Linked DNA regions of Tamandua tetradactyla. The protein of the gene in region 2 interacts with the protein of the main gene of each other region in a biochemical or structural test. Links are inferred from orthologs where the notes say so. Each region holds a gene or a part of one and is shown on either strand. Other genes may lie near its edges.

Evidence for each region.
Region 1: the proteins of CASK (region 2) and FCHSD2 form a complex in vitro, tested with the Homo sapiens proteins (2 studies listed by BioGRID and IntAct, with this or other methods). The link is inferred for Tamandua tetradactyla from reciprocal best matches to the Homo sapiens genes CASK and FCHSD2.
Region 3: the proteins of CASK (region 2) and ATP2B4 form a complex in vitro, tested with the Homo sapiens proteins (2 studies listed by BioGRID and IntAct, with this or other methods). The link is inferred for Tamandua tetradactyla from reciprocal best matches to the Homo sapiens genes CASK and ATP2B4.
Region 4: the proteins of CASK (region 2) and CNTNAP2 form a complex in vitro, tested with the Homo sapiens proteins (2 studies listed by BioGRID and IntAct, with this or other methods). The link is inferred for Tamandua tetradactyla from reciprocal best matches to the Homo sapiens genes CASK and CNTNAP2.

Annotation. Positions count from the first base shown.
Region 1 is NC_135334.1:72,922,646-72,929,688, forward strand, and holds the start of FCHSD2 (F-BAR and double SH3 domains protein 2), read left to right. Parts: upstream 1-3,945; 5' UTR 3,946-3,984; coding exon 3,985-4,107; intron 4,108-5,737; coding exon 5,738-5,835; intron 5,836-7,043. UniProt on the Homo sapiens protein: Adapter protein that plays a role in endocytosis via clathrin-coated pits. Contributes to the internalization of cell surface receptors, such as integrin ITGB1 and transferrin receptor.
Region 2 is NC_135353.1:130,139,209-130,146,229, reverse strand, and holds the start of CASK (peripheral plasma membrane protein CASK), read right to left. Parts: upstream 3,013-7,021; 5' UTR 2,844-3,012; coding exon 2,785-2,843; intron 1-2,784. UniProt on the Homo sapiens protein: Multidomain scaffolding Mg(2+)-independent protein kinase that catalyzes the phosphotransfer from ATP to proteins such as NRXN1, and plays a role in synaptic transmembrane protein anchoring and ion channel trafficking.
Region 3 is NC_135330.1:60,978,857-60,986,671, forward strand, and holds the start of ATP2B4 (plasma membrane calcium-transporting ATPase 4), read left to right. Parts: upstream 1-4,715; 5' UTR 4,716-5,151; intron 5,152-5,735; exon of another isoform or gene 5,736-6,011; intron 6,012-6,780; exon of another isoform or gene 6,781-6,881; intron 6,882-7,815. UniProt on the Homo sapiens protein: Calcium/calmodulin-regulated and magnesium-dependent enzyme that catalyzes the hydrolysis of ATP coupled with the transport of calcium out of the cell. By regulating sperm cell calcium homeostasis, may play a role in sperm motility.
Region 4 is NC_135327.1:191,131,842-191,139,208, forward strand, and holds the start of CNTNAP2 (contactin-associated protein-like 2), read left to right. Parts: upstream 1-4,171; coding exon 4,172-4,309; intron 4,310-7,367. UniProt on the Homo sapiens protein: Required for gap junction formation. Required, with CNTNAP1, for radial and longitudinal organization of myelinated axons.

The DNA.
Region 1 (7,043 bases), on a different chromosome or scaffold from region 2:
TGGAGGGTGACTATGCATTTACCTCTCTGGGGTTTCTCCTAGGATATTTGTGGAAGAGCAGAACAGCTTGTCTTCCAGTGTCTGCTGGTATACCTGTTCCAGGCTGGCTTTCAATCCTGGTTCTGACAACCTTAGAATTCCATTTCTTTTGGGAGACTGTGTACCAGTGTACTACAGGAAAGCACATCTTCAGAGTCAGAGAGAGCAGGGGTCCAGACCTGGCTCTCCTGTACTAGTTGTGTGACCTTGGGCAAGGCATTTCACTTGAGAGCCTTGAGCTGTGAAATCTGTGAAATGGGGTCATATGTGTTATGAGGGGTTGTTGTAAGAGTTGGAGACAATGTAAACAACATACCTAGTTCAATGCCTGAAACATGAAGGAGGGGGCAAAATAAATAGTAACTGTTATTAATTCCTTCCCAGGATAAGAATTCCAACTGTGGCCTCCTTGATGGAAGCTCTTGCTTAGACAGTCCCAGGGATAGGAAGCTTACTCCTCCAGGGGTAGTTCTGCCTGGAAAACCTTCTTCCTTAGATGCAGCTGAGACCTGTCCCACTTTTGCCTCTGGGGACACAGTGCATGCTGCTCTGTGGCCAAGGGACAGCTCTGCAGCATTTTCTTTACAAAATCTCAAGAGAGCTGATGTACTACAGGAGCAAGGCTCTGGAAATCCCCAGCCTGCAGCCTGTTTCAAAGGGTAGATTTTAAGTCAAGCTTACTTAGGTCTCAGAAATCCCTTACCCCATCCCTGTGGAGTTTGGAACACATGGATTTTATCCTTTTGGGTCCTTTTTCCTAGATGAACTTTCCCCGTTTCTTATGAACATTTCTCATAGAGGTACATGGGAGAACCGAGTTCTGATCCCAAATCCATCACTTCAGGGCAAGTCACCTATCCTCACTGAACCTCTGGTTCCTCATCTGTGAAATGAGGAAAATTATACTACCTTATAGGGTCATAATGAGGATTAGCTCAGAAAACTAACGTGAAAGTTCGGGATTTAGAAAAGGTATTTGGTATATATTAAACACGTTTTCTAAAAATACATTTTTGAAAAAGAGGTTAGCAGGTAAGCTCATCTGGTGTTGTTCCTTCGCCCTTTATAATACCTCCAAAGGAAATCGTTCCATAAAGTACATGCCACTCCTGGCTTTGGAATGATGCAAAATCAGGTAATTTCATCTGTAAAGAGTCTACTCAATTCCAGGCTCATGTACATACCTTATTCTGCAGATGGGGACAGAAGCCCAGAAAATGCCCAGCAGGTCACAGTGGTCACGGCAGGACCCCAATTCTTCCAACTCTCAGCATTTTTAACCTCCAGGACTCTCTTCAGCAGGAGGAAGGTGAAGGGAGGACATTCTCTGGGCCAGACCAGTTGACCCAGGACTGGGATTCAGCATTCATTATTCCTTCAATTAATCTTTGCTGAGCACCTCCTATGTGTGGGACACTACATTTGGGCAAGCTCTGTGTTACCCCTCTCTATAACTTGTGTCATCGTGGAATGGTTGGTCTGGAACTCAGCCTTGGTGAAGGTCAGGGTGATTCCATCTTTCTTACTCCTGTATTGCCAGTGCCTGGCACCTGGCACAAGGTGTGGCACAAAGGAGGACCTTAGCAAATACATTTTTAAAAATGAATGATGGTTTTATTGAACATGACTGTGCGACAAGGTTATGTGGCAGGAGAAATTCTATCTAATAAGCCTGCTAGGCTGGTATTATGCCCCTACTTAATACATGAAGAAACAAAGGCTGAAAGAGGTGAACTGAGTGGCCCAAGGCTTCACCTTGGTTGGTGGTAGAGCTGAGACTGGAGCCCAATTTTTAACTGCCTCAGGCTTGAGCTGGAGCTGCTGCCTCAGAGCTGTCAGGCAGGGCTTTGGGCCTCCACCCACTTATTTCCTAGCCCCAGGCAATCCCAGATCTAATTGAAGACTGGTGAAGGGCTGACTTTTTTTGAATGGCCTCAAGGAAACCAGAAATACTAATTCTGGTCTAGTTCATAGCTTTGATTCTATCACCTTTCTGCGCAAGCATCCAGGCTAATTAAAAGCAAACAATCCAGGTTCAAGTTCCACCTTCCCAATTTTCTGGTCATATGGTTTTGAACAATTACTTGGGCCTTTTTTTTTTTAAAGCTTCACTCACTTCCCTCTTTTGCCTGATTACTGTCTGGGACCCCCAACTTCTGAAGGGCCAACTTCTAATAAAACTGTAGGGCAATGTGGCTCACTCTCCATAAAGCCCTGTGGCTCATAGCAACCCCCTGGGAATGGAGAAAAGGTATTTCCTGTTCTTTTCTAAGGACTCCTAGGGAGGCTGACATCTCTCCCCCTAGATGGTCCCACAGTAAAGGAAAGGTTCTGAGGGATCCTGCAGGGGTGAGCCTCCTCACTGGCAGATGAGGAAGCCCGAGCTCACCCAGACAATCAGGTAGAGTGGACTGGCACCTAGAGGTCCTGACTTCCAGATAAGGACTTTCTCCGTTGCCCCATGTAGCCTTCGCTACTTTTCCTCATCGATTACCATCCTTCCACCTGGTTTTTATAACCCAGAGAACGCTTTGGGACAGAGATTCTAGTCTTGCTGTGCGACCTTCGGAAACTCCAGGCCCATTGGTGAAACGGGATCCTGGCCTTAAAGACATCTCGTCTTCCACTCAGCAGAGTCCATGCTCCTTGACTTCAATGCTCTGTAGCAGAGAACCATTTTTCTGCTTGCAGGGCAAGTGCCGAACCCCGCACTGGCCAGGCACCTGCAGCGGGCAGCAAAAGGACTTGTTCATGCTCGCCCCTTCGTATTCAGCTAGCTGGCCATCCGTTCAAGGGAAAACGGAACTCTCCTACCACCACAGACATGCTGCACCTCTCCCCATCGCAAAAACTTCACTCTGAGCGTCGTTTCTCCCCCAGCCCTTCAAACAGACACACATGGAACCGCAGACGCAGGCGAGAGGTGGGGGAGGGCTGTGCGCGTGCGTCGGCGCCGAGCCCTCTCCCGCCCACGTGCGCGCCCCCAAACGGAGGCGCGCGCACCGCGGCTGGCTGGCGGGAAAGCGCGCGGGAAGCCCCCAGCAGGCTCCCAGTGCGAAGGACCGAGGGTAGGAGGCGTTTGGAACGTGCCACTCTCGGAGAGGACGGGGGTGGATTTTCGTGCTCCGCTATCGTTCCCACCTTCCCATCCCACCGACCAATCCGTTAATTTCCCCCGTCCCCTGCCGCGATTTAGCGTCCTGCGCCGCGGCCGCGCTCCCCCACTGCAGTCTGGGGCCCGGCCGCAGGAGCCAGGCTCTCGACTGAGCTATTGCCGCCGCTGCCGAAGCGGGGCGCTACGTCGCGCTGTAAAGCCGGAAATTCCCGCGGCCTGAGTGGCGGAGGCGAAGCCGAGAGCCGGCACCGCCTCCCCTCTTCTCTGGACGGGCGGGGGCGTTGGGCCCAGCTAGGGCCGGGCTGCCTGAGGGAGGCAGGAGGCGGGTACCGCGTCCGCATAGAGCAGCCGGGCCGGCGGCAGACAGGGAGCGTAGGCAACGCGGCTGCTCCTCACTAGCGGCTCAGCGGGCGGGGACACCCTGTGTCCCGGCTCCCGGGTCCCCGCCCCCTCCCGGTCTCCGCCTCCTTCTCACACACCCCCCGGGCGGTTCGAGCCCCAGGCCTTCCCTGTGCTCTTCCTCCTCTTTACAGTCGCCCTCCGGCCCGGGTCCTCCGGTCGCCCGCCTGTCTCGCTCCATCAGGGCGAGTCCTCGTTCTCAGGCTCTTTTTACACACACACACACACACACACACACACACACATACACACACACACGTACGCACGCGCGCGCGCGTACTCGCTGGGCCGTCCCCTCCACTGCGCGCCCCCCCTTCTTGCTAAGGCCACCGTCGGGGGAGGATTGATGTCCCTTCAGCATCATGCAACCGCCGCCGAGGAAGGTGAGGGCGCAGCTCGGGGGCTTTGGGGCTTTGGGGTTTGGGGGGCGGATGCGTCCAAGGAACGCGGCTGGGGCAACCGCTGAGTCCCCTCCCCCTTCTCGCCAGGGCCGTGACCGCCCTCGCCTCGGGCTTGTCACCGAGTTGTCGTCTGCTCCAGGCTGGGGAGCGCGTGTGAGTTGCCCTTCCGACGGAGGAGCGGCGGGGGCTTAACCCCTCCACCGCGCTGGAGACCCCCAGGCATTTCACAAGAGTTTCGGGTGTGCATTTGTGTGTGCGCGCGCGCATGGCAGTGCTGCCCGCTGCAAAGTGCATTCTTTGGGCTGCTCCGGAGGGAGGCGAGGGAGCCCCTGCAGTTTTGCAGAGCCTTCTGCGTGTGATTGTGTAGTCTGCATCTGGTTTGAACCCTCCAGCCGCTTGTCGCACCCCTCTGCATTTCCAAATTTGCAGGGGGGTTATATCAAGCCTAGCCTTATGGTTTGGCCTGCTTTTCCCATGGGGCAGAAGAAAAGAAGTTGGAATAGTCACAGTCTCCCTTCCCAGGGAGAAACAAGAAATTAAAGATTGACCAGTCCTATCTTTCTCCACCCAACCCGCCCCGCCTCCCGGCTGGGGGTCGAGGAAGCGGTGGTGCTGCTGCCTCCAGGAAAGGGAGGACAGGGCCAAGCGTGGCGTAGGCACCACGACCTGGGCATGGATAGTCCCGATGGGAGTGACGGCTCCTCCGGGCTTGTCAGTGGCTTCCCGGCTGCGCTCTTCGCGAGCTGTTTCACTGCCTCCTTCGCCAGGGTTTGCAGGGGGCCGAGGCAGTGTCCTTGTCTTTTTAATTCTGCAGATGGTTACTGAATGTCTACTCTGGGCTCTGGAAGGAAGGAGGCCGATGTTCGGTTCTCCCCTCGTGGGCAAACATTTGCTGAATGCCTGACTCGTGTCTGCTTCCTCTTCTTTCTCTTTCTTAATCCGGGGTTCTCCAGTTACGTGTGCCCTTTTCTTTCTCACACTTACCCTCACCACTCCCGGTAGTCTTGTTCTGGCGGCTGGGATATTCCAGATCCATCGTAATCTCGAACCCTGGAGTCCCGGCCTGGAGGGCGGGGTTTTGGCCAGCTTGCATTTGCTGTGCTCGCTATTTGAAGTGGAACCACCACGGGGACCGTCTAGCTGGGTTGACTTAAAAGCACTGCAAACGCTGGAAGGTCACTTTTGCTTTCTCCTTTGTGAGAAAGGGATTATGATTTGATGTGCTGTCAGCGAGTCGAGGGCATCATGCTGAGAAAGTGTGCTTTCTCACAGCCATTATGGAATAATTCATCTAGTCGATGCACATTTTATGATTGTGTAAATTTCAGTTCTTAGGAATTAGATAGTCTTATTCTCCCTTCTCCCATACACACTCTGCTTAGCTTTTCTGATGGCTGATGTCTTTGAATCTTTTTTTTTTTTGGAAGAAATAGAAGACAGGCTGTTTTAAAACCATGAGAAGACTTAAATACTGAATTTGTGCATGCAAAGGAATGACTGGCAGTTTATCTTGCACGTTTTTAAGCTATAATTTTTATACTTGCATATATCAGGGGCTCATTAACCCTCTCTTTTAGGTTGTTAGGCTAGTTTTTCATTAAATAAGCATCTTCAGTAAATAATCATTCATTAAATAAGCATCTTCAGTGATTAGCAGTGAATGTTTGGTCTTCAGAGGAGAATTGAGTTTATAGTCTGACAAATATTAAGTATATTCTTAAGTAATTTTGTTGTTATTGTTCAAGTTCCAGTAAGGCTTTCATAAATAAATGGTATATTTTAGGTGAAAGTTACACAAGAACTGAAAAACATTCAAGTTGAGCAGATGACAAAACTTCAAGCCAAGCATCAAGCAGAATGTGATTTGCTTGAAGATATGAGGTAAGGTTACAGTAAATAGTGTGAGAATTGTATCTCTGTTTCCAAGAACCTTTGAGTTACCAAACCCCAGGAACTGATGATATAATTTCCTTTTGGATTTCCTGCTTGAAGGTTGTTGGAGCTTTGACTGAGCTGGAAATTATAACTGGAACTAATACAATAAAAATTTTTTCTTCAGTGGGGGCACCCTATAATGTACACAGTGTTCAAGGGTCTTTAAAAGTTTGTCAATAGAATGATAATCTTTGATGTAGAAATTATTTAAATATTTTCCACTGAATTGTAACAATTATTTATTGACTTTAAAAATTTTAAGCAGTTAATTTTTTTTTAAAGCAGTTCTATTTACACACCATATACTCCATCTAACAATCAGTGGCTCTCAGTATAATCAGAGTTGGAGCAGTTAGATTTTTAAATCAACATCTGTAGTTAATGGTTAATATCTGAAAGTGTGCCAGTCAACCCTTGATAATTATTTATTAAATACTAGCACTATTTGTTGGAATGTGACAGATGTGATCTCTGAATGGTAAATTTAGTGGGAAGGTAACATTAAAGTTACCTGTTTTCATAATTAGGATAATGTTGAATTTAATTTTGCCAACATTGTGAAAATCAGTCACTCTTTATAAAGGGAAGCCTGACTGTTTTTAATGAAGGAATTCCCACTTATTTGTAGTTAACAATCCTATAATATAGTCTGACCATTCAGCCAACTTATATTTTGAAGGGCGAAAGATGATTGACATGATGAAATTGAGTGGCCACAATTCTTATTTCTCTTTATTAATACATTATTCAAATTGGAATTGGATCTGTAAGCCACATTGGTTGCCTATCCACTAACCTGATTTTGGTTTCATAAAAGAGTATTAACTATATATTGCTATGATAAATGTGTTTCTATTGCTAAGTTCTTTGTAGGCTGAAGATTTTCAGTTCCTTTTTTCCTCCCCTGTATGTAATTCATATACTACTTATGAGCTTTGCTGCTGCATACCTTACTTTTCATGGTTTTTAACTCAAGCATGTAAATCTAGTTTCATCCAAACTTGGATATACCAAGGTCATTTTTTCCTGAAAAGTACTCTATTTCAGTTTTTTTTTTTGTTATTCTCATGGCCGCAAGGAAATTTTTAGACTTAATTCCTCTGTAAGGAGAATTCGAAGTTCTTAAGCTCTATTAAGAGGACTAAGGTATTTTA
Region 2 (7,021 bases):
TGGGAAATTAAATCCATTTTAAAGAGGCCTTAGTAAAAATTTAAAGCTATTAAAACCCTAGTGGTCAAAAACAACTGATGGTACTTATTTGGTATAGAAGAAAAACAAAATTCCACAGACCTTGGACAGACATCAACAAAAATGTTTTTAGTACAAGTGAGCATCTTCAAGGCCTTTCTGTTTAAATTCAGAGTTGAACAAATCCTAAGTTAAAATGATATGCTGTCAACTGTCCCTACAAGAAAATCTCAAGTGAATTTCAATTTTCAGATCAATATATGCTGAGACAATTTACTAGAAAACCTTCAACCTTTACATGGGGTAAGGAAGACTATCATTACATTCGTTACCAATAAGATTACCTGGAATTCATTATTCACGGAGTGGCATATTGTCAATGGAACTGACCAAGTCAGATTTTGTAGGATATGAACAAGATTTCACAGATCACAGTAGTCAAGGTAGCCATAGAATGCCTATCACCTCAAAATTAGCTTGCTCTCTCTCCTCAAGCAGCTTCAAAACCACAAAAGAGATGGATTTGGCTCTACCAGGAGTGTTTCCTAAAACTATTCTATCAATTAAGTCAGCAAATACTGATTGTGCTAATGTGATGCTGATCACTTATTTTAAATATCCTAAAATATCATATCACCACTCTTAAAAATGTTAAGTAATCAGAACTAGCTATCAAAATTGATTCAATGCTGGCTATTTTCAGTCATCACAATATAACCAACATTTTATTCTCACCTTTTCCAATTATGACTTTGCTGGCGCATTTACATCAGATATAACTAAGATGCAACAAACATAGTTCACCCACACACACAGTCATTTTGCTGCTTTGGGGAAACACCTAATTTACCTTCACTGGGTGCTCCTAAAAATAAAGAAACCAAGGAGATTTCTGGCATATTTGTCTCTCTAGAATGGTGCTATTCACATGTGGCCACTGAGCACCTGAAACATCTGACTGAGGAACTGAATTTTGAATTTTATTTAATTTTAAATAATTTAAATTTAAATTTAGAAACACACGCTCAATTCTGCTACTGGAAAACTTTTAAGTATGTTTGGAGCAACTTAGATATGTGAATCTACTTTTTCAAATGTAAAATTTATGAAACCTAAATACAGATAAAGTATTTTCGAAAAGAAAATTAGCTTAGTATGATAATTGATATGTGCTGTTCATGTAAAACATAAACTGGATTTCAAAGACTTCACATGAAAGAAAAAGAAAGGAAGTAAAAAAAATTTTATACTGATTACATGTTGAAACGATAACATTTCAGATTTATTGAGTTAAATAAAATATTTTATGGACAATAGTTTCACCTGTTTTTACTTTTTTTATGTGGCTAATAGAAAATCTTAAATTACATATGTGGCTCACATTCTATATCTTTGGACAGTGCTGCCCTAGAGTACTTCCTCAACCACTTTACCGGGTTATATTTGTATATCCTTCTAGTAGAAAGGCTGGTCATGTAACAATAGGGGCAAGGAGTAACATGTCCTCCTGGCAATTGGGTGTGAGTAAAGTGTGTAGCAACCTCTACTCACAGTTTCACCATTTCATGCAAAACTGTAATACCTCAATATGGAAGGAAAAAAATGAGTTTTCAGCACTTAAACAAATTGAAATTCAGTACTGCAGACAATTTAAAAGAAATAGAGCCTACTGTTCTAAGGTTTCAATTCCCAAATACAGACCTCTGAATAGGCAATAAATATTTCGATGTAGCTACCCAGCAATCTTTATTAAATAAGCCAAAATTACTCTTAAATCTTATCTCCCCAACTTCTAAAGCCAGAGAACACAACGCTGAACTAGGAAATCAACTTCAAACTGCCAGCCAGCATTTCTCTCACAAGCAAACTGCCAGCATTTCCCTTCCAAGAATTGTGCACTTGGAATAGTGTTTGACAAGAATGAAAAGGAAACTATTCAAAACAGATTTAAGGAATGGACAATTAGATGAAGAACTGCAGATTTAATTCTCAATCAGCACTGTGATTAATCTGATTCCATGCCTTTCCCTAGTGTAATTATACAACAAAGATGAAAGGATGAGCATTTGGACTGTCAGTTCTATCTTCTAGACCAGCCGGGTGACTCAAAGCAGACAGCTCTACCACGCTAACCACCACCACCATCAACACTCAAGGAAAGCTTCGAACAAAGTCACCGTATAAATGAGGCATTAGAAATTACGATGTCTCCAACTCTTCCCATGTTCATCTACGCTAGGTGAGGAATTTGCTGAAACTAAACGCACCCCGTCTTAAATGACCCCCTCCAATCCGGACATGGGGTGAGCACAAAGGCATCTAATATCCTGCACAATAGACACACACCCCATAGTTGAAAATCCTGGACGTTCTTCGTCTACCTCTCCATGCAAGCAAAGGAAATGCAAGCTGCTCTTTTCATTACTGGTCTGTGCTACATTCAAGGTAACAATAAGCCCAACTGTTCCCAGGAAACAACTATAAAATCGGTTCTGCCACGTCCCTGTGCAACCATCAGATAAAACGCAGGCAGCAGATTTCTGCCGCCCCGCGCCTCATGTGCCCGACATCGCCTCGTTTGCCTCAACACATCGCAGAGAACCCCAGACCCCGGTCCAGGTACTTCTATAAATACTCGTGGGTGAGGAGGATAAGGGAGGTGGAGGGTTGGGAGGGCAGGGGGCAGGCCCGAAGCGGGTGCGGGAGGACCAGGGCATCCCTGAAATGCATATTCCCACACTCCCGTTGCCTCGCGTGGAGACTCACTTGCCGATCACCTCGCACAGCTCGTACACGTCCTCGAACAGCACGTCGTCGTCGGCCATGGTCCGAAGAGGACAGGGGCCGCAGAGGTGGGGAGTGGGCCTCCGAAAACGGGGGTGGGGGCGCCAAAGAGCTCAGCGCCCGGCCCGGAGATCGTCTCCTCCCCTCGGGACCCGCGAGCCCTCGGTGCTGAGTACGCCCGAGCCGGGCCGCAGCGGCGAGGCCCGGAGACTGCAGCGGAGCCTGCCTCTGCGGGCGACCGCCCCGGCGCGGGCGGCGGGGCCGGGGCGCGGAGTGAGGGCGGCCCGGGCCCGACGCCGCCCGCCCGCCCGCCGCTCCTCGCGCTGCTGGGGCCGCACTGCCCGGAGTGCGGATCCTCAGGGACCGCGCACCTCCCCGCTTTCAGCTCGTCAGCCCTCGGGGGCCGCGAGATCGCGGCCGTTCCCTCTGCCCGAGGCCGGCTCCGGCGCGACGCGGGGCAGCTCGGGCTACAGGGGGGGCCGCGGCAGGACCATGGAGGGAAGATCACCGCGGAGGGAGGTGGCGGCAGCTCGGCGCTGGGGACCAGGAGGCGGTGGCAGAGACGCTCCCTCCTCCTCCTCCTCCTCCTCCACTACCTCCTCCTCCTCCTCTCCCCGCCGCCGCCCGCCCTAGAGTGGGAGGGAGGTTCGTGAGACGCGCGCTCTGTGCGGGCGGGAGCCGCAGCCACCGCCTTCTGCTCCTCCTACTGTGCCTCAGCCACCGAACCTTTCGCTAGCTCGGCGCACGGCTTCACGCACACACCCTCCTCCCTCTTCGGCCGCGCGGCTTTCCAGAACCCCAGACCCCGCCCACTCCAGCCGGTTGGGAGGTGGTGGCTGAGAGAAGTGAACCGGACTGGCCGGCGCATGCGCTCGATGCAGAGCCACGTCACAGCTAACTGGCGGGCGCCGGGAATCTAGAGTGGGAGGGGGGTTGGCCCGCGGGGTTCGCCGGCAGCAGCTGCGGAGGAAGGGGTTGTCTGGGTCATCACCTCCACGCCCTGCCTGCGACCAAGCCGCAAAAGGAGTCTTGGACAGAAGGCCCACCATCGTGCGCACGCTCTCGGCTGTCTGCTGCGACGGGCTCGTAACCACTTATGCACCCCCCTTTCTTTTGTAAGGGCAGGAAGCCTTTCCCAGTTTTGCTAGAAAGGAGGCAGGGAAAGGATACTGATGTATGAAAAAAGAAGACAGGTAGAGAGAGTGTCACTCAAGATTGTGCCAGGCGGCGGATGCTTTTAGTGCCACTTTCTACTTCCTTTATGAAGATGAGGGCTGGGAGAAGGGGTATGCCCACTTACAAGAAAAGGACCAAACAAAAAGCGTCTGGGAAGGTATGCAACAACAAACGGTAATTTCTACAGACAGCTTCTCCCGCCTTTTGCTCCAAACTCAGCAAATACCTATCCAGCTCTTACCCGCAGTATGGACACCTAGAGAGCTCAGGAATGCAGGGGCATACTGAGACTTTAAGCCCTTTTGTATATCCTCCTTCCCTCAAACCCCCAGCACCTAGTCTGCTGCCTATACTCCCTGTAAGTGTTAGACATATCAGGATAAAAAAGCAACTAGAGGGAGTGGATGCACAGGGTCAGCCAGGGAAGGCGGTTCTGCGTGTTGCCACTGAGCTAGGTTCCATTCAAATATGAAGATTTCTGTTCAACTGAGCATGTGCGGAATGAGCAAAAACCATCAGACAGGTATATATCTCACAGTTAAAGCGCAATAAAAAAAAAAAGTCTTTGTTCCTCCGCACAGCAGAAGTGCCCAATTACTTCATAAGTCAGCTTTCAGAAATCATGTGGTAAAATTCTCAGTGTGGTAATTTAAAAATATAATGTTTACTAAAGTTGAGGGGTGGGTGAAGATCCACAGCCTTTTTTTCGCTTCAGTGGTATTTGGTGCAAAGCCTCGACCACTCCCTCAAGCAGCTGAGGAATTTTCCAGCGTTAAGGATCTAGGAACTAAGTCCCCCTTTATACAATGCGGATCAAAGGAAAATTATAATTGCACAAGAAGGCTTTGCTTTCCTCCTTTCCCAAAGAGCTTGTGCACTCTCTAGGGAGGGGAGCTCCAGAGCCTGCGAAACATAGGCCTTCTTTAAGGTACAAGTCCAAATCACTCACCCCCAATAAATAGGTCACTCCCTTCTGCCCTGAAGTGCACAACAACCCTAACAAGTCACCTTGTCGACTTCACTTCCTTTTCCCAGCCCAAATGGGAACTATGCCAAGGCTGTTGACTACTTCATTTTGGTTTTTTATCTTTCACAGGGACCTATGCTCAAAGGGAGAAAAGGACAATTATAAGGTAAAACAGAAAAGAAAGTAGAGGTTAAGGGGAAAAAAAAAGGCGAGGTAGGTATGCTCTCTGCTCATGGAATCATGAGTTTAGATCTGGAAGGAGCCTTAGAGCTAGTCCAATTTCCTCATTATTCCCTCAGATGTGGGGGGATATGGTGGTTGCTCTCCCAAGAGCCAATCTTCCCCTCCACCATTGGATAGTGGCCATGAACTTGAGGTGGGATTGTAATCACCTCACCTGGAAAAGTGGATCCTGATTCATTAAACTAATAAATCCAGCCCTTTTGTCACAAAGATTGACCTAATTTATTCAGCTCTTGGCATTCCATGGCCATGGCTTTGAATGGTTCAAGGTCTTCTGGTCAGCACAAAGCTCAGGACTTTCCCCAACATCACTTCCAACACCCTCTTTCTCCTCATCCCACCCCCCACACCCCCATCAAAATCACCACTCTGGCTTTGAATAAAGAGGCAGCCTCAATTGCTGCTGGCAGTCATCTAGTACCCCTGAGAGGAAGCAGGCATAACATGAAGGTGGAACTCAGGGCAGCAGGGGGGGAGATGGAGAAAAACGGTGTCCTTAATGACATTATTGATCTCCTTGTTCAGCCAAACCTCCAGACATCCTAGTTATATAAGGCAATGAATTCCCTAATTGTTTAAGCCATTTTGAGTTGAATTCCCTGTTACTTTCAAAGAAACCATCCTAAAAATGACAGGTGAAAAATTCAAAGACAAATAGATGTCCACGTCACATAATTAGCTAAACATTGAATCTGAATCTAGATCTCCTAGTCCCAAGTGTGGTATTTTGTCATAAAGAAGAAGTCCTCTGTAATACACATCCCTAAGAATTTGTACTATGCATTATGGCTGGAGGTAGTTCTATGCATCTAAACTAAAATAACTAAGACTTCTTAATGAAATTAGCTCTTTTCTGGATTTCTTCCAAAAACCCAATACTCAATGTATTTATACCCAATGTACAAATGGTCTGGTGTCAATTTAGTTCTGTTTTAGTTTCCACAAAGAAAATTTTAAAGTGACTAAGTGTATCACTTAGATTGTGTTGAGATATAAATAACAATCCTCAACTAACAGTGATTTAAACGAATTAGGGGTTTGGGTATCTTTCTCATGTAGCAAGGAATCTGGAGGTAGGTGGTTGCTACCATTGGTTCAACTACTCAACTTTGTTACCAGGAACCTAGGTTTTTTTTTTTTTTTCACTCTACCATCCTTTACATGTTAGCTTTTCATCCTCAAGCTTGCTGCCTCATCATCACACTATGGCTGCCACAGTTTCAAATACCAAACTGTATTCAAAATCAGGAAGCAAGAGGGCAAATGGGAGTAAGGAAGGCATTTTTTGCTCCTCTCCCATCTGTTATTAAGGAAAGAAAATATCTCTTCCCATTTCACTAGCCAGAACAGTCACATTGCAACCCTCAACTTCAAGGGAAGCTTGGGGCAAGAGTATTTGACTATTCTTGCCTCTTCTTTGGAAATAGGCAATGGAGAAGCAGGTAGGGAATGGCTTCTGGTAGCCAGTCAGCAGTATCTCCAACACTAGGAAAATTACCAATGAAATAATTTCGTATCTCCATCGTAATGTAGATATATACCTTTAGTATATAATTTATAGTCCTTTAAAAATTAGGAAATATCTCATAACTCATAAGACTGAGTTTGGTGCTAAACAAATTTGTTTCTGAAATGTCAGTGAATATCCTCAATGGCTTTTAGGTGTTGGACTTATGGTTGCATTTGATAGTCTCTGGCTGTTGGATTCCCATAAAATTTCAACATGATCCAGAAATAAAAGGGAAAACAAACCCTAGAGAAATATTAGCATGAGAACAATACTGAGGTCAGTGTAGTACAGAATTAATTTAGGCATTTTAGAGTTCAGCCTCA
Region 3 (7,815 bases), on a different chromosome or scaffold from region 2:
GCCAAGTCCCTGGTCTTCTGCCTTGTGTCTCTGCCCAGCACCATCCACAACAATTCTCTATCTGGAGCTCACCCTGCCCTTTGGGGCCTGCCTGCATCTAAATTAGTTTCTCAAGCTCCATCTTCCTGAATACAGTTTCCTACCCTTCAGTAACCTTGCTCTATATATGACAAAGGCACACAAAGGGCATAAGGGAGAGATGTTTCTTAGAGAAATGCCTCTGTGTATCCATCTTCAGCCTTTACTAGGCCTGCTATGCAGGTAGACAGGAGGAGAGACCCTGGGAAGAATTTCAAGGTCCCATTGGAGTCCCACCAACTCTAAGAAGCCTTCCTCAAAGATTCCAGCACACATCTTCAGCTTCTTCTTGGCCAAACTCTCTCTGGGTTTTTCCTCTGCAGCCCAAGTCTTAGAGTTAATCCTACAGTCATTTTGTTGCTGTCTGATTTATGTGTCTCCACAACTGGATCAAAGGCTTCTGGAAGGCAGGGTCATGTTGTATAGAACATATTATATTAATTTGTCTGGCATTGCACTGTGCCTGGATGCTCCCTGCCTACCATTTCCAGGTTTCCAAATTATCGTGCACACTCCTGCCATGGCCATCTTGCTAAATATAGACCTGAAAAGGCCATTCAGTCTAGACCCATCTTCCAAGCCTTCTGTCTCTACTCTATACCTTTGCTTATTTCATTACCCTCACAGTTCCATCCTCACCCCATCCAAACTAGTTGAAAGCTTACTCTTTCAAGGTTTTTCAGGCCTCTCCAAATACTGACTCCTTTCTAGAGCTTTTAGATATTCCCATTAGAAGTTATCACTTCTTGATATTCCTGTAGAAGTATTTTCATACTTTATTTTTTAACATGTAGTACCCGCACATGGTAGGCCTTACAAATACGTTTAAAAAAATAACACCTTCTGTAAGTGGTTAATTCTTCTATGAACATGTCTGTGCCCCGCCCCTCCAACTAGGCTATAAGCTCTATTTTTCTCTGCACTTCGTGTGGGCCCAGCCAAGGTGGAAACAGTAGACATTTGATGAATGCATACTGAATTAAATAGGTATGCAGTAATACTTGTTGAATGAATAAACTAAACTTCTAAAATAAATACTAAAGTGGGTGTGCCAACTCAAAAAGAGGAGGTAATGGTGACATTTCTGCTTTACTTAGTACAAGTGACCCCAAAAAAACAATTTAATCCAGTTTATGCTTGCATAGTGAGTCATGTAACCAATTCACAGGAAGGGCAAGGGTACAGTAGGATATCAGGAACAATTTGAACCCAGATTCAATTTCTGCCAAGGCTCTTCAGCTGTCTTCTCTGTCTCTCTCTGCCTTTAAGCATCATTCTTTCCTACTGCTGGATGTCTTCTTTCACATGACAGGGCACACGGCCATAACTTCACTTCTCGCAGTGCTCACTTTTGGAGGGCTCCAACCAAGCCTTGCTCTCTCTTTGGTATTAAGTTAAAAAATTTCAGGAAAAAAATTGTTCTTGGTTAGGGTCAGGCAAAGTGTGATCTCTAATAAAATAGCAATTCCCATGTTATCAGATTAGAAAGAGCAACTAAAGAACTGGGTAGGGGTGTGGGGAGGGTGGTTGCCGTTCTGGCCAGACAGAACAACAGACACCCACAATAGGGAGTAATGTCATTTGCATTCAGGGAAGGTGGGCCATGGGACTTAGCAGAAATGGCCCAGCAGTATCTTGAGCCCTGCTCTGGGGAGGCTCTGAATCTGGCTGAGGACAGCTGGCTAAGTTAAAGAAGCAGAGTACCTGTTAAGTCAAGAGGACTTTGACAGCACTAAGAGACAAGTAGGGCTGCTGGTGGGCTGCGGAGTGCCCAGCCAGAAGCAAGCCAGCAATGAACTTCTGATGCCAGAGGCAGTGCCTTCCCTCTGGGGAGACAGCTCTACTTTCCCACAGTTAGTGCTTATATTATATTTACGGATAGGTTTATTTTTACCCATTCCAGACCTCAAGCCCCAAACCTACTGCTGGAAGAAACAGGCACTGAGGCTTCTGGGTTTCCAAAAAGCACAGGCTTCAGTGTCTGGCCCAGTGCCAGAGACCCAGCTGCGGTTAGTCCTGTAGTCATCTAGACCGACCCACCTCTCACATCGCTCTCTCCTGTCTACAAGGGAGGTAGGGATGGAGGTGAAGGAAATTGTCCTTTGCCCATCCCACAATCACCCCGCCAGTGAAAGGTTAGCACTGGGCTCTGAGAGGAGGGCCCTGACAGTTACGGTAGAAGTCATATCCTGGCCTGCCCATGAACTGTGGCCGGCAGGAGGGGGAAACACGTCAAAGCCCTCTTGCAACAGCTTCTCCCCTGCAGGGCTGGTTCCCTAGAACCAAGGGACAAAGGAGAGGATTTTGTCTTTCAAATCAGCAGCTAGGAACTGGCATAAGTTTTTAGCCCCCATATGCCAGGCAGCCAAAATAGACTTCTCCTTTAGTGGGACCACACATCTGGCCTAAATTGTTATTCCTCCAAGACAATTTATCGAACAGTTAGGCACTGTATTCATGCACAGCCACTGCAGACAAGCTTAAAATATACGTTAAGACATTAGAGCCATTTCAGAGACTGGCTTTCTCATGATAAAGATGCAACTGACATTCATCAGGTACTAAAATGTCAAGTTGTTGCAATCCAGTAGGAAGCCCAACAAGCCATTAAATTTGAAGTTCTGTTCGACTGATTCCTTTCCGTTCATTCCAATGCTTCCCCAACAGCTGATTTTGACTTCTGAAGCTGACATTTTGGTAGAACCTAACAAAATCTCACAGGGCCCCCTGTCTTTCTGAGCCATCATTAAAATGGGGAGAACTCCTAAGGCCAGAGACCAAGCTCTTGAAATGCCCGAGGGATTGGACCAAAGAATTTGAGAGAGGAGTGGTGCAAATGAGAACAAACCTTTCATGTCCCCCAAGTTTCTGGGTGAGGACTTCAAACCCCCTAAGGAGGATTACTTGGAGAATAATTCATGGATGAATCCCATCCCCTCCACCCCTACCTTCCTTCATCAGGACTGGGCTGGGGAAGAGAGACAAGCCCAGGCAGGAGCTTATTTTAGTTCTGCTTCCCAAGGTATTGATTCAGGCAATCTCAAGTACCACATTAGGGAGCTCAGGTCTGAGCTTGGCACAACCAGGCTAAAAAAATTAGTTTTTTTTTTTTTTCTTTTTTCTTTTTGGTCTGTTTAACTTGCCTTAGCTCAGAAATAGGATGTGGACGAGTTATTGAGAAATAGTAGGATAGAAGATAAAGAGAGGAAAGAAAGGCCTCAAATGTTAGGTAATCAGGAAGGCTGCTAATGGGCATAGGGTATCCAGACCACTGGATGGTATTCACAGCTCTTTTTCTCCATGTGCAAAATGAACCCTCCAGAAGGTTCTGTGTTCTGGGGAAGCAAAGGAGGACAGGTGTGGTGGTGGTGTTGGGTTAGGATCAGAGAGGCCTTTTCCCAAACCCCTGTTAAGAAGGTTGGGAAATTGTGGTTGGTCACCTTCTTCACAGCAGAATTGGCAGCTATAAGCTATGTCATGTATGCTTAACTGCCTCCCATAAGCACATAAATAGGATTGCATGTGTGTGCCGTGGTGGGTGTGGGAATATATCAGTCAATGAAGATGCATTGTGTGAACCAGTTGATGGTGCGTGTTTATACTTGAAAGCTGTAAGGTTCTATGCAAAATCTATGGGTGGCACTGTTGCACAATGCTGGTGGGTGTGTGGCTGCGGGGGTGTGATTAACAGTTTATTGGCTGTGTAGAAGTGTGCATGGACAACTGCAAATTAAAGCGTGTATGCATGTGCATGGAGTGTGTGCAAATTAAAAGGGAAATGTATGCCAGACTATGATACAAGTGCTAGAAAACACTTGGGCTTTGGAGTCAACCTGACTTGGCCTTGAATCCTGGCTCTATCATTAACCAGAAGCATAACCTTGGAAAAATCACAGGATCTTCAGTTGCCTTGCCTATGAAATGAGGATAATAGTAAGTACCTTTCAAGATTGCCTTGAGAATTAGGAATAATACCTTGAATGCAAAGTTTCTGGGGTCAGAGCTGTCAAGTAGCAGGATTCAAGAATAGGTAGCTATCATGTACTGTGTATGCACCTCTGGTAGGTGCAGAGGCAGTTGGGAGGAAAATGTGCCCCAGAAATGTGTGTGTGAAATCTGGGTGAGGAAGTGCATACTAAAAGTTGGGTGTACAAAACTGTATTATGTTTGCATGTATCCAAACATTCCTTCTCCTTTCCCATTGAGCCCCATATCCAGACAGGGGCAGTAGGGTGGGAGCGGATGGTACAAGTCTCTGTAGGCCCCTTGGGTTTCGGAGTTTCTGGGTCCTGGGTCTAACCAAGTAAGAGGTTGAGAAGCTGGTAGGAGCAGCAGGAAGCCAAACGTCTGCAGATGCTTCCTTTTTTTTCCCTCCACCCAGCAACGGTTGAATAGCCACCCACATTCTCTCCGCTTCCCCCCCCCCCCCCACCTCCGCTTTCCTTTCAACAAGTGAGAGCAAGGGTGGGAGGAAACTCGAGGGAGGAGAGGATTCCTTCCCTTTCTTTCCCCATTCCCCCTTAAGACAAACCAGGAAGCAGCTGCAGCTCAGAACCAGGCCACCTTAACAGTAGAGTAATGGTCTGGCCTCTCGCCAAGTCCCACCTCTGTTCCAGCCTCTGCTCCTCCCCCTTCTCCTCCCTCGCTGCTCCCGGAGAGCTGGTGAGCAAGAGTCTGGACGGAGTTGGCAGGAGCTGTTGCCATGACACGCATTTTCTTAAGAAAGCTCTGCTGTTGAGACCATCCAAAGCTGGGTGGTGGTGGTGGTGGTGGGGCCCGAACTTCCTGGGGAACCATCCGTCCAAGGAGGGCAAGAGCAGACACCCGCCCAGCTCCCCAGCACCCGTTTTCTTCCAGGAATCTGAGAGGTCCTTCCCCTAGGCAGGGCCGGGGGAGGAGACCCAGCCCACTACCCGGCCCCGGTAGGGAAGGCGAGAAAGCAAAGCCAGCATCTCTAGGCTGGTTGCCAATTTGGGGAGGCCGGTGGGTGGTCACCTCCATCGTACCCCCGTCCATGGAAACCTGGAGGGAGAGTCTCGCTTGGAGAAACCTGGATCGTTGCTAGAAAGAGAGGTAGGCTTGCAGAGAATGAATTGACTGGTGACTTGTAAACTTTGTTTCTTTCCTCTCAATCTTTTAAAAAACTCCCTGAATTTCCTCTCCATAGTGTATTTTATGTGATTGGATTTGGAGATCTTGGAGTATTTGTGTAATGTGTTTGTGTGTGTGCACAGATTTGCTAAATATTTGTTTCCTAGACTTGGTTTGGGGAATCTATATAATCAAACAAGTGATTTTCTTTTTCTAGTTTTTGTCATTCCTGGACTGTGGGGGTAGGGAAATGGAGGGAACGTCTTTTCATACCCAAATTGAGCTCTTGGAAAAAGCATTTATTTTCTCCATCCATTCTTGCCTCCCCCCTCCCCCCTTGGCTTGGGAATGAGACGCAGAATGGAAAACTGTTGCAAAAATATTTTCCATGTCTGTTCCCTGTTCCCTTTCTCGAAAGCCCCAAAGAGAGATGGAAAAAAAAAAATGCAGAAGATTTTCAGCAGAAGGAGGAGCTGCAGTGGGGACCTGGAAAGGGGCATACTGGTGGGGGTGGGTGGGTGGGAGGTGGGGGCTAGGAGAAGTTGGGGTGGGGGGAGATAGAAAATGCACAAATTAAATTTGTTTGACTTTGCAGAGAAACCTCAGCAGTTTCTCTCTGCCTCTTGCAAAACATCCTTAGACTTCAAGTCTATAATTAGCTATGGAAAAAGCTGGGAGTTCCCTCGTACTGCTGTTGTTTGACTGTGTGTGAGCATCAGGAACCAACTGTGTGAGTGTCTCAGAAGGGCACCACCCCAAACAACTCAGTTCCCAAAGGGGAGAGAGGAGAAAGGGCTGAAGTTGTAAAGTTTGCTGTTTTAAGGCTGCTGATTGTGGGGCTGGTGAGTGTTGGGGGGTTGGGGGTTGGCAACAGGCGTCCTTGGGAGGGTCCCTGGAGCGTCATGGGCCGCTGCGTTTGTCTTGTTAAGGAACTAGAAATTAAGGCTGGGATTCTCCTTCCTGCTGTCCCTTCACACACACACACACTCACACACACTCACATACTTGGCTTGGGGTATGGGGGTCACTGGCATCCTCCCTGGGGTGAATCCAGTCCCATGCACTCCTCCTGCTGAGGAACCCCCGCTCCCCTCCAGCTGGGTATGGAGGGCACAGGAGGGGCTGCGGCCATCCTGGGAGTGGAGCGGGCACTCTGCTGGCCATAGGCGCCTCCCTCCTGGGCATTCCTGATAGGACTTACAATAACTTGCAGACATGATGCCAGCGCCTGCTGGCCTGGTCCGGGGAATGCCAGATGAAGAAATTAGGCGGGCACTCAACTGATGCTGGTGGGGGTGGGTGGTGGGTGGGAGGGGGGTGGTAAAATCCCATTCCACAGTGCCATCTCCAACCTAGGGTGGGGTGCCTGGCAGGGAGTCTTAAGATCCATTCCTCCGTCCCTCCGTGAGCCCCTCCTCGGAGCTGCCCTGTTCATGCCCTTCCTCATCTCTAGGCCCTGTTCTTGGAAGGAAGGGAAGATGTCAGGGGCATTCCAGGCTGGGACGGGCAGGGGAGGGAGGCCTGGGAGGAGGGAGGGCCCGGGTGGGGAGGCCTTAGGAGGAGGAAAGCTGGAGGGGCGGGGTAGCTTGGACCGATCGAGAGCCGGCTTACCCTTCCTGGCTGAAGGTGGTGGCATCACGCAGCTGACTCTGGCGGGCTGGTGGCATGGTGGCAGCAGGGTAAAAGGGTGCTTTGCGGGGTGGGTCCTGGAACTGAAGCAGACGAGTATGTAAGAGGCAGGCTGAGGGGAAGAGAGGAGGAAACACCTGCCCTTGCCCCAGTCGGAGAAACTGGGGAAGAAAGAAGCAAAGATTTTGAGGAAAGCTTAAATGGGGGACAGGAGAGCAGCAGGAACCAGTTTTCATTTGGAGGTGTTGGATGATTGATCGGACTGCACCCCGGGGCCAGATGATCTACGCTGCCTTCATTCTGATCAAAAGATGAGTGAGGCCTTCCTTGGGGAGAGGGTAGGCGGGGAAATCCATTCTTTGCTCCTCCTAGGGAGCCCCGTCCAACCTGCCACCATCTTGCAAAGGTACAACCCTGAAATCATGCTGTTACACCCCCACTTCTCACCCCCCCCCCCCCCCGCCCGTGTGCGCCCATCTTGGGGATCCAGAATCGCACCAGTCTGCAGCCTGAAAACAATACTCTGACTTGGGAGGTTGGATTCTGGTAGGTTAGTGGGACTTCTGCCAGAACCCAGCCCTGTGGAACAGGTCCTGAGTTAGTGCCCTGGGTGGGGGGGCTGCAGTGGAATTTGTGCTCCGCAGCCCCAGCCCTTTTCACCAGTGACTCCAAGCAGGATCAATACTGCAGCAAAACTGCGTCCCCTCCCCTCTCTGCCTCCCGCCCCCGCGTCAGCCTCTCCCGCAGCTGGGCGCCACACTCCCTGGCTCTGCCTTCATCTAACATACTCTGTTGGAGAAGGTGCTGAGAGCTGCAGAGCTAAAGTGTCTTGCTTCTCAGGTGGCTCAGAGCCCACTCAGTCACTTCCATTCCCATTTGCCACCTCTGTCCTCGGATTCAAGGTCAAGTAGGAAGAAGTCCTGGTGGTCTGTCTTACTCCTTTGCAGACTCCCAGTGCCTAGCACAGTGCCCGAGACTTATAAGTACTTGCTCCATCTTTGTTGAAACAAGGAAGCA
Region 4 (7,367 bases), on a different chromosome or scaffold from region 2:
TTTTAATACAATCAATTTAAGTGATTTTCTCAGGAAAAAAAACAAAAGCTGTCAACACATATTTCTAGAGTAGTGGACTTGTTACACCTAAGGACACAGATTTAGGAGTCACTGTAGATTGTTCCTGGCAGGCAGTGACTCACTGTGCTCTCACAGGGAAACCAGATGAAGAAAATGGTATGGGAAGCTGTCCTGCTGTGTAAAAGACGGAGTTTTTACGGGATACTGTTTGCCATCTGGTCAACAAACTGCAACAGAGAAATAGTAGTACTCCTGAAGATCTAGAGGGGGTAGCCGAAACAGGCAAATGAATACAGAATCTTCCATGTAAGAAAAAGGAGATTTAGAAAATGTTCATCTCAAATCCAGAGAGATAGAAAATATGAAGAGAAAATGAAATTGCACAGATATAGTAAAATGTATTCATTAATTCGGCCATAACACCTGGGTGGGTGTCTATAGGGAAGTGCTGGAAGGTTCTTTCCTTGGCCTGTGCAGGTCAAAAATTCTTCTACATTTGATAACATAGTTACCAAATTTGCAAGATGTAAAGCTCAGGAGAATAACTATTGTATGGCTGAGAAAATAATTGAAAATCATTAAAAAAAAGAGGCAAAATATAACAAGATTGAGTTTAGTAAATATAAGTATAAATATCTTAATTTAAGTTTTGAAAATAAATTAAGAGGAGGGAGAGAAATGTATTGAAAATGTATTTAGTTGGAAAAGCCATGAGGTTTTTCTTGGCGTCAATTCAGTGTGAGCTCTAATATGTTCACATGCAAACTGAGATGTGCAACTTATAATATTTTGACCTTAAGATGAATGATTAGATATAGAGTATCCATACTAAGGGAAATTAACAGCCCCATTGTATTTTAAATTTGTCAGTATTGTGGTGTTCTGGAAAACATATTATACAAGGAATTGATGAGGGGGCAAGGACGTGAAGTTTGGAAAAAGACATCTAAATGTTTGTCTTTATTTGCACTGTTGTTTTTTAGATGAAAAATAGTTTATAGCTAAAGAGCCTCAATCCTTCATTCATGTATTCATTTAGCATTTCTTTTTTGAGCATCATCTACAGAATAGGCACTATTCTAGGCACTGAACATGTTACAGTGAACAAAGCATGCAAAATCCCCACCCTCACAGAGCCTATATTCTAGGTCACATTTGAGACAGAGGGACATATGAGATGAAAGTGTTGTCTGCTTCAGATCTGCACTTGATCCTTGTATATTCAGAGGTGACCATAGCACATGCTATTCAGAATCTTGGTCTGTTCATGATTCCAGAGCATCGCTCATTGCTAAGTAGGCTTTGGCTTGGTGCTGCCACTCTTCTGCTGTGGCTGCTGGTTATCTACCAGGATTCCAGGCATCTGCCCTTCTTGGGTGTCATCTTCTGTGCCAGTTGCCTTCTGAGGCCCCGCTAGTCATTACAAGAGAAGTAACCTATCACTTTGATCCCAAAGCTGTCTGGGTTCCACAAGAAAATGAAAAAAACAAAAATCACTCTCACTTTTTTTTCCCACATTGGTTTCTTAATTTGCATATGCAGTCCATGGGCTGAGCTGAAGATAAGTTACGGTTGTGTTCTCTTCATTTCCCCTAATTGCCTATCCTGGGCCCAATTTAAGTTCGGTTGAGTTCATTTGTCTCATTTAGAACTTAAGCATGATATTTAGATACTGCCTAATTTGTTTTCTTTATATGCTTAATATTAACACTTAATATCCAGTAAACCAATGGCAATCATAAGGTATCCCAGCAGTGGATAAGAAATAACACAATTGTTCTCTATAATAAGAGCTAAGTGCAGAAATGAAAGAAAAAATATATGTTTAATAAGCACGTAATACTAATTTGTATTGCTAAGTATAAAGTTGAAGAGATGGTTGCTTTTGTGTAATGGAACTGCTCTGTACCATAGTTATATTGGTAGTTACACTTATACAGATGATAAAATTTCATAGAACTATACCCTCTCCCCCCCAAAAAAGAGTGCATGGCAAAACTAGTTAAATCTGAATAGTGTCTGTAGTTTAGTCAATAATATTATGTCAATATCAATTTCCTGGCTCTGAAAATTGTACTGTGATTATGTAAGATGTTAGTACTGGAGGAGGCATGGAGAAGGGTACCCAAGAACTTGCTATACTATTTCTACAACTACTATGTGAGTCTAAACTTAATTCAAACTTAAAAAAACAACTTTAAAAGGCAAAAAAAAAAAAAATCCAAACTTGCAGACTGCCATGTGATTGAAGTCTCTATCTCTTATTCCATTTGTGTCTGTATATATTACATGGATATATATCGCAAATAACTCAACACATATACTTCTTTGACACAGTCAAGTTTTACTGACTAGAAAGCCGTAATATATTTACATTGCTTAGAGATTCTGGATGAATATATAATTGAAGATAGTATCCTAAGCTATATATTAAAGCATTATAATGCATAGGTTTTTATACAAAATTCAGGTAAATAGATCATTCTTGAGTTGAAATAGATGGCAGTAGAATACTAATATAAAAACTATATAAATAAGGTGACTGGAGCCCATTCTCTGATTTTATGTTTGCATTATTGCAGTAGCAAAATATTATTGAATCTGAATAACTCTGAAAAGCACCTCACAAATAGCACATACTTGCTCCATGGATCTAGTCTCTTGATAAAGAGTTATAAGACATCATAGATGTGTGTTAATATGATTCAATAAGCAAATAACTCCTTCATAATTACAATCTTAGTTAAATATGTAAATTAATATATGGTTTCAAATGATATTTGGTTTATTCTTATAATGCCTTCTTCCCATCAGAGGTTTTATTTCCATTTCTTTTTATTTCTTCCCAGGATACCATCATGCTAATTACCTTTCCCCTAGATAGTTCCATAGGAGATTTCCCAAAGACAAGTTGAATTAAAAAAAAGAGCTGAATAGCACCATCTTATTCTCAAAGTAACCTAATAGCTATTAAAGCTTGTTTACTGGCACTTATTCAAAAGGGCAGATTCAAAATCAGTCTCCAGTTTTGTTTTGTTTTTTTAATTCCCCAGAACCTCTGGGCTAACAAAGCGCATTGTTTATCTATCAAATAGATAGATGTATCTCCACACCTGACTGCTCCAGGGAGAAGAAACTTGCTCTGGATAACATTTTGCTACAACAGCTTTAAAATCAGAGAACCTATTTATCTGCAGTGTGCCCTATATTCTCTATACTCCCTCCCCTTGAATAGAGGACAATGTGTTCAGAATTTAAAGTGGTGATCATCTATGTGAAGTTCTAAATTATTCTATTCAAATAGAAAGCAAGTAAGATTTTCATAGGTATAGGGGAATGTAGCATAGCTTTAGAAACACTTCACATTACATGCAAAAAATGGATAATCTTTCATTATGAAAGAGAGCATTAAAGATGGAAGCCACAGGATAGGTTTTCTGTAAATCAGGAGCCGTAACCAGCTACTTGTCTCAAGTTCTAGCTACAAAAAATTCTAGAATTGAATATGCATGACACCAACGTAACAAACATATTTGTTCAGTTCAGTCAATTCTGTTAATTTGCTGAAAAGAATTTAAGTGAATCATTTAGCATCCTATAAACAAAACAAAGGGTGGTAATTGCGTGAATTATTCTTTTCAATGTATTGAGTTGGCAACATGTGAACAAAGGCAACGTGTGTCTATACTTTTGGCTTAAGTAATTAGTTTGTTACAAAATGAGATTTTAATTTAGAAAACTACTTCTCTGGTAGTCTATAAAATGAACTGAGGAAGAAAGAGACTGAGAGCAGAGAGACCATTCAGAGAGCTGTGAGGGGAGCATGAGAATTTCAAACAGGGCAATGGCAGCTAAGGGTGAATAACTGATGCAGAGGCAGGACCTTCTGGTTGCAGGTGAGGTGGAGGAAGAGCCATGGATGTGACTTAAGGTTATGGCTTGGAGGACTAAGAGGATGGCAGTGTCAGCAAATAGTAAAGAAAAACAGGAAATGGAGCAAGTGTTGGTGGTGGAAAAGCAAAGCCTTTTTATTTTTATTTTTTCTTCTGATTAAATACATTTTACAGCCATTCAAATAAAGATGTCTAATAGGCATTTGGACTTCTGGCCTAGAGTTCAACATCCAATTTAGGGCCAGAAAGTATGGACAATGGGAAATAATCTCCAGTACTTAGATTATTATGAGAACTCCCCACATCAAAAAGAAAGATTAAAGGGAAGAAGTCAAAGAGCTAGGAAAATAGGAGTAATTCCAGAAGCAAATGAGATTGCAGATGGAAATGCTTTGGTAATGGATAGTGCTGATGGTAGCACAACATTGTGAACGTAATTAACAGCCCCGAAATATATGTCCGCATGTGATTAGAAGGGGAAATGTTAGATTCCATATATGGTAACAGAATACATTTTTTAAAAAAATCCATGGACGTAAACTACGCAAACAGTAAACCCTAAGTTAAACTATAGACTGTAATTAATAATACAATCATAAAAATGTACTCTCATCAATTGTAACAAATGCACAGTGCTAATATAAGGTATTAGTAATAGGGTGGTATATGGGAATCTTGTATTATATGCATAACTGTTCTGTAAACCCACACTTCTCTGATAAAGAACAAAAATGAGACTGCTGTCTCAGATCAGAAAAGGTGTTTACATAAGAAGGGCAAGTTTAGTTGTTAATATTAGTGTAATGATATACAGAACTAGTGTGCTGATTAAGAATACAATTATCGGGCGGGCCACGGTGGCTCAGCAGGCAAGAATGCTTGCCTGCCATGCCAGAGGACCTGGGTTCGATTCCCGGTGACTGCCCATGTGAAAAAAAGAAAAAGAATACAATTATCAGTGTGTGATCATGAAAATGTAACAATTCTTCTCTTCTCCAAGAGGTCACCTAAAGTCAGAATTGAGTATCATGTCTTGGAGTTCACTAATATCTGGTGATACAGGAGATTAGTTATAAGAGAATGAGGAGAAAGTGGGTGATGACACATGAACCTTGGGAGACTACATGTAGAACCTTGGGAGAGCTGCATGTTCAAGAACTTTGGGAAGTCAATGAAGGAGGATATAAGCAGATTTTCAAGCATGCATCTTTAAATTGCATGTTTATATCTTGCAAATAAAATCTTGTTCATATTTTGGTATAATATTGTAGTATAATTATTTAGAATAGGAGACACCTTTTTGGTTGATAGATCAAATAACTTTAAGAATTCTATGATAATAGCAAGATGGTTTCAGTACCACAAACAAAACTGAACTTTAAAATAGTCTGCAAAAATATTTGTGAGGAATATTTTCTGCTATATTAAAAAAAATAGGAGAAACATATTTTTAGTTATGATAACATCAGACTTTCATTACAGATAGGAGAAATAAGGTGAGTAAAAGTAGAAGAAGATTAAGTTTGATATTCTCCTCAAAATCATAGATTTAAAAAGAAAGAGGAAGGGAAGGAAGGAAGGGATACAAGGAAGGGAGGGAAAGGAGGGAAATATGGGAAGCAAAGGAAGGGAAATTCAAAATAAACCTTTGGACCAGGCTTTAGTGATTTTAAATTCCAGTAAAAAACTAAGATTTTATTTAGTACAAAGTAGGGATTTTCTAAACTTTTTGAGTTGGGAATTTTTATGTGATCAATACCATATTTTATATTTCAGAGGAATGAGATGGAAAGCAGGGGGGAAGACTGGGAAAGTATTACAATATCTTATGTATGAAATTGAAGAGGCCTTAAACCCTGGAATAGATATGGGAATTGAAAGGAAGTGAATATCGATAAAGAGCTGTAACTAGGGGTCACTAATGAAAAGATAGGTGAAGGTAGAATAAATCCAGCCAAATAATTTAGGGAAAGCGGGATACTGGAAAATCAGGCAATTCTAAATTGAAATATTTCCAACTCCATAGATTCTAAAGACATTTGGAAACAAAAATCTTTGGGAGGTTATAAATATAATAGTAAGTTTGCACACAATAGTATCAGTACTCTAGTAGCACATGGAATATCCAAAAGGTTTACCTGGACAGAAGAGACAAGAGAGGTAAGGTCAATTATAAAGGAGCCGATAAAAGATGGTAAGGAACTCCTAAACTAGTGACGGTGGGAAACCATTACCACTCCTAGGATTTAAGGAACAAGTGGAAGAAACAGTATTGTCAGCACTGGTCACAGCTAGAGCTATAGAGGGGTCCTGAGAGCTGCTGATCATCTGTTGTTGAACTGCATAGGTGGAACCCAATCAAGAATCACAGAGCAAGGAGTCTGAGCCATCCAGTCTGTGGGAGTTACCTCCCCTATTCCCCAGGTTTCCAGAAGGAAAGAAAATGAATCCGGGAGGCTGAGAAAGCAAAGCTTGACAGCAAAATATCCACCATGGAACTTATGGTTAAAAACAAGAAAGTGAATGATTTTACTTGTGAAAGGGTAGGGGGAGAAGCATCATCTTTAGTAACCCATAGAAAAATAAAAAAAAATCCATTGAAGGCAATCAAGAGGTGATCAGAGACTCAAAGAAAAATGTGCAAACTACAAATGTCCTTGAATAAGAGAGATTCGATGAGAGAATGACTGACTGTGGGATGTTGAAGGAAATTCAAATAACCACACCAAAGAAAGTTGATTGGATCATCAGTCAGCTTTCTGAGTTTTAGTGCAAAAATAAACAAATTACTGGGGCTTTAAGAGAGCAAAGAGGAAGAGAGGAAGGCAGAGCTATCCATTTATTAATGAAGTTGTCAAATGGAAGGGAATAGAAAATTAGAACTAGTTATGAAATGGAGGAACAGAATATAAAAAGGTTTTCTTTTTTTACCCATGAAAGATGAGATACAAATATACTAGGGGAAAAATGGCTTCTGTAGACTCAGGAAGAATCAGTTATTTTAACTCTCTCTGCGTACCTCAAGGAAATATTACTGGATATTAATCTTGCTATAGAATAGTTAAATAGGAAGCATAAGTATATTAAATTGAGAGAGAATAAAATCATTATTAATGTTCAAGTCAAAGAATGCATTAATATCACATAGTGTAAGGCTGGCCAAATCAAGACTTTCACATTTTGAAAAGGCACAATTTAAAGATGACAACTTACTTTGCTATTATTGATCCACACCCTAAATAAAATTCAGTAGTTTTGTTGATATTGTGTGTATGAAAGCGTTTGGCTCCACGTTTCAAAAGAGATGTATTCTAGGTACTTGGCAAAGAGCATATTCCCAAATCCACTGCTGCTTAGTACTTACCAAAAACTTAGGAAAAGCAGTGTTTCTGGAGGATAACCTGAAGGCAATGATGGCCGTCTATTTTTCGAGATACTCTGAAATTTCTCTTG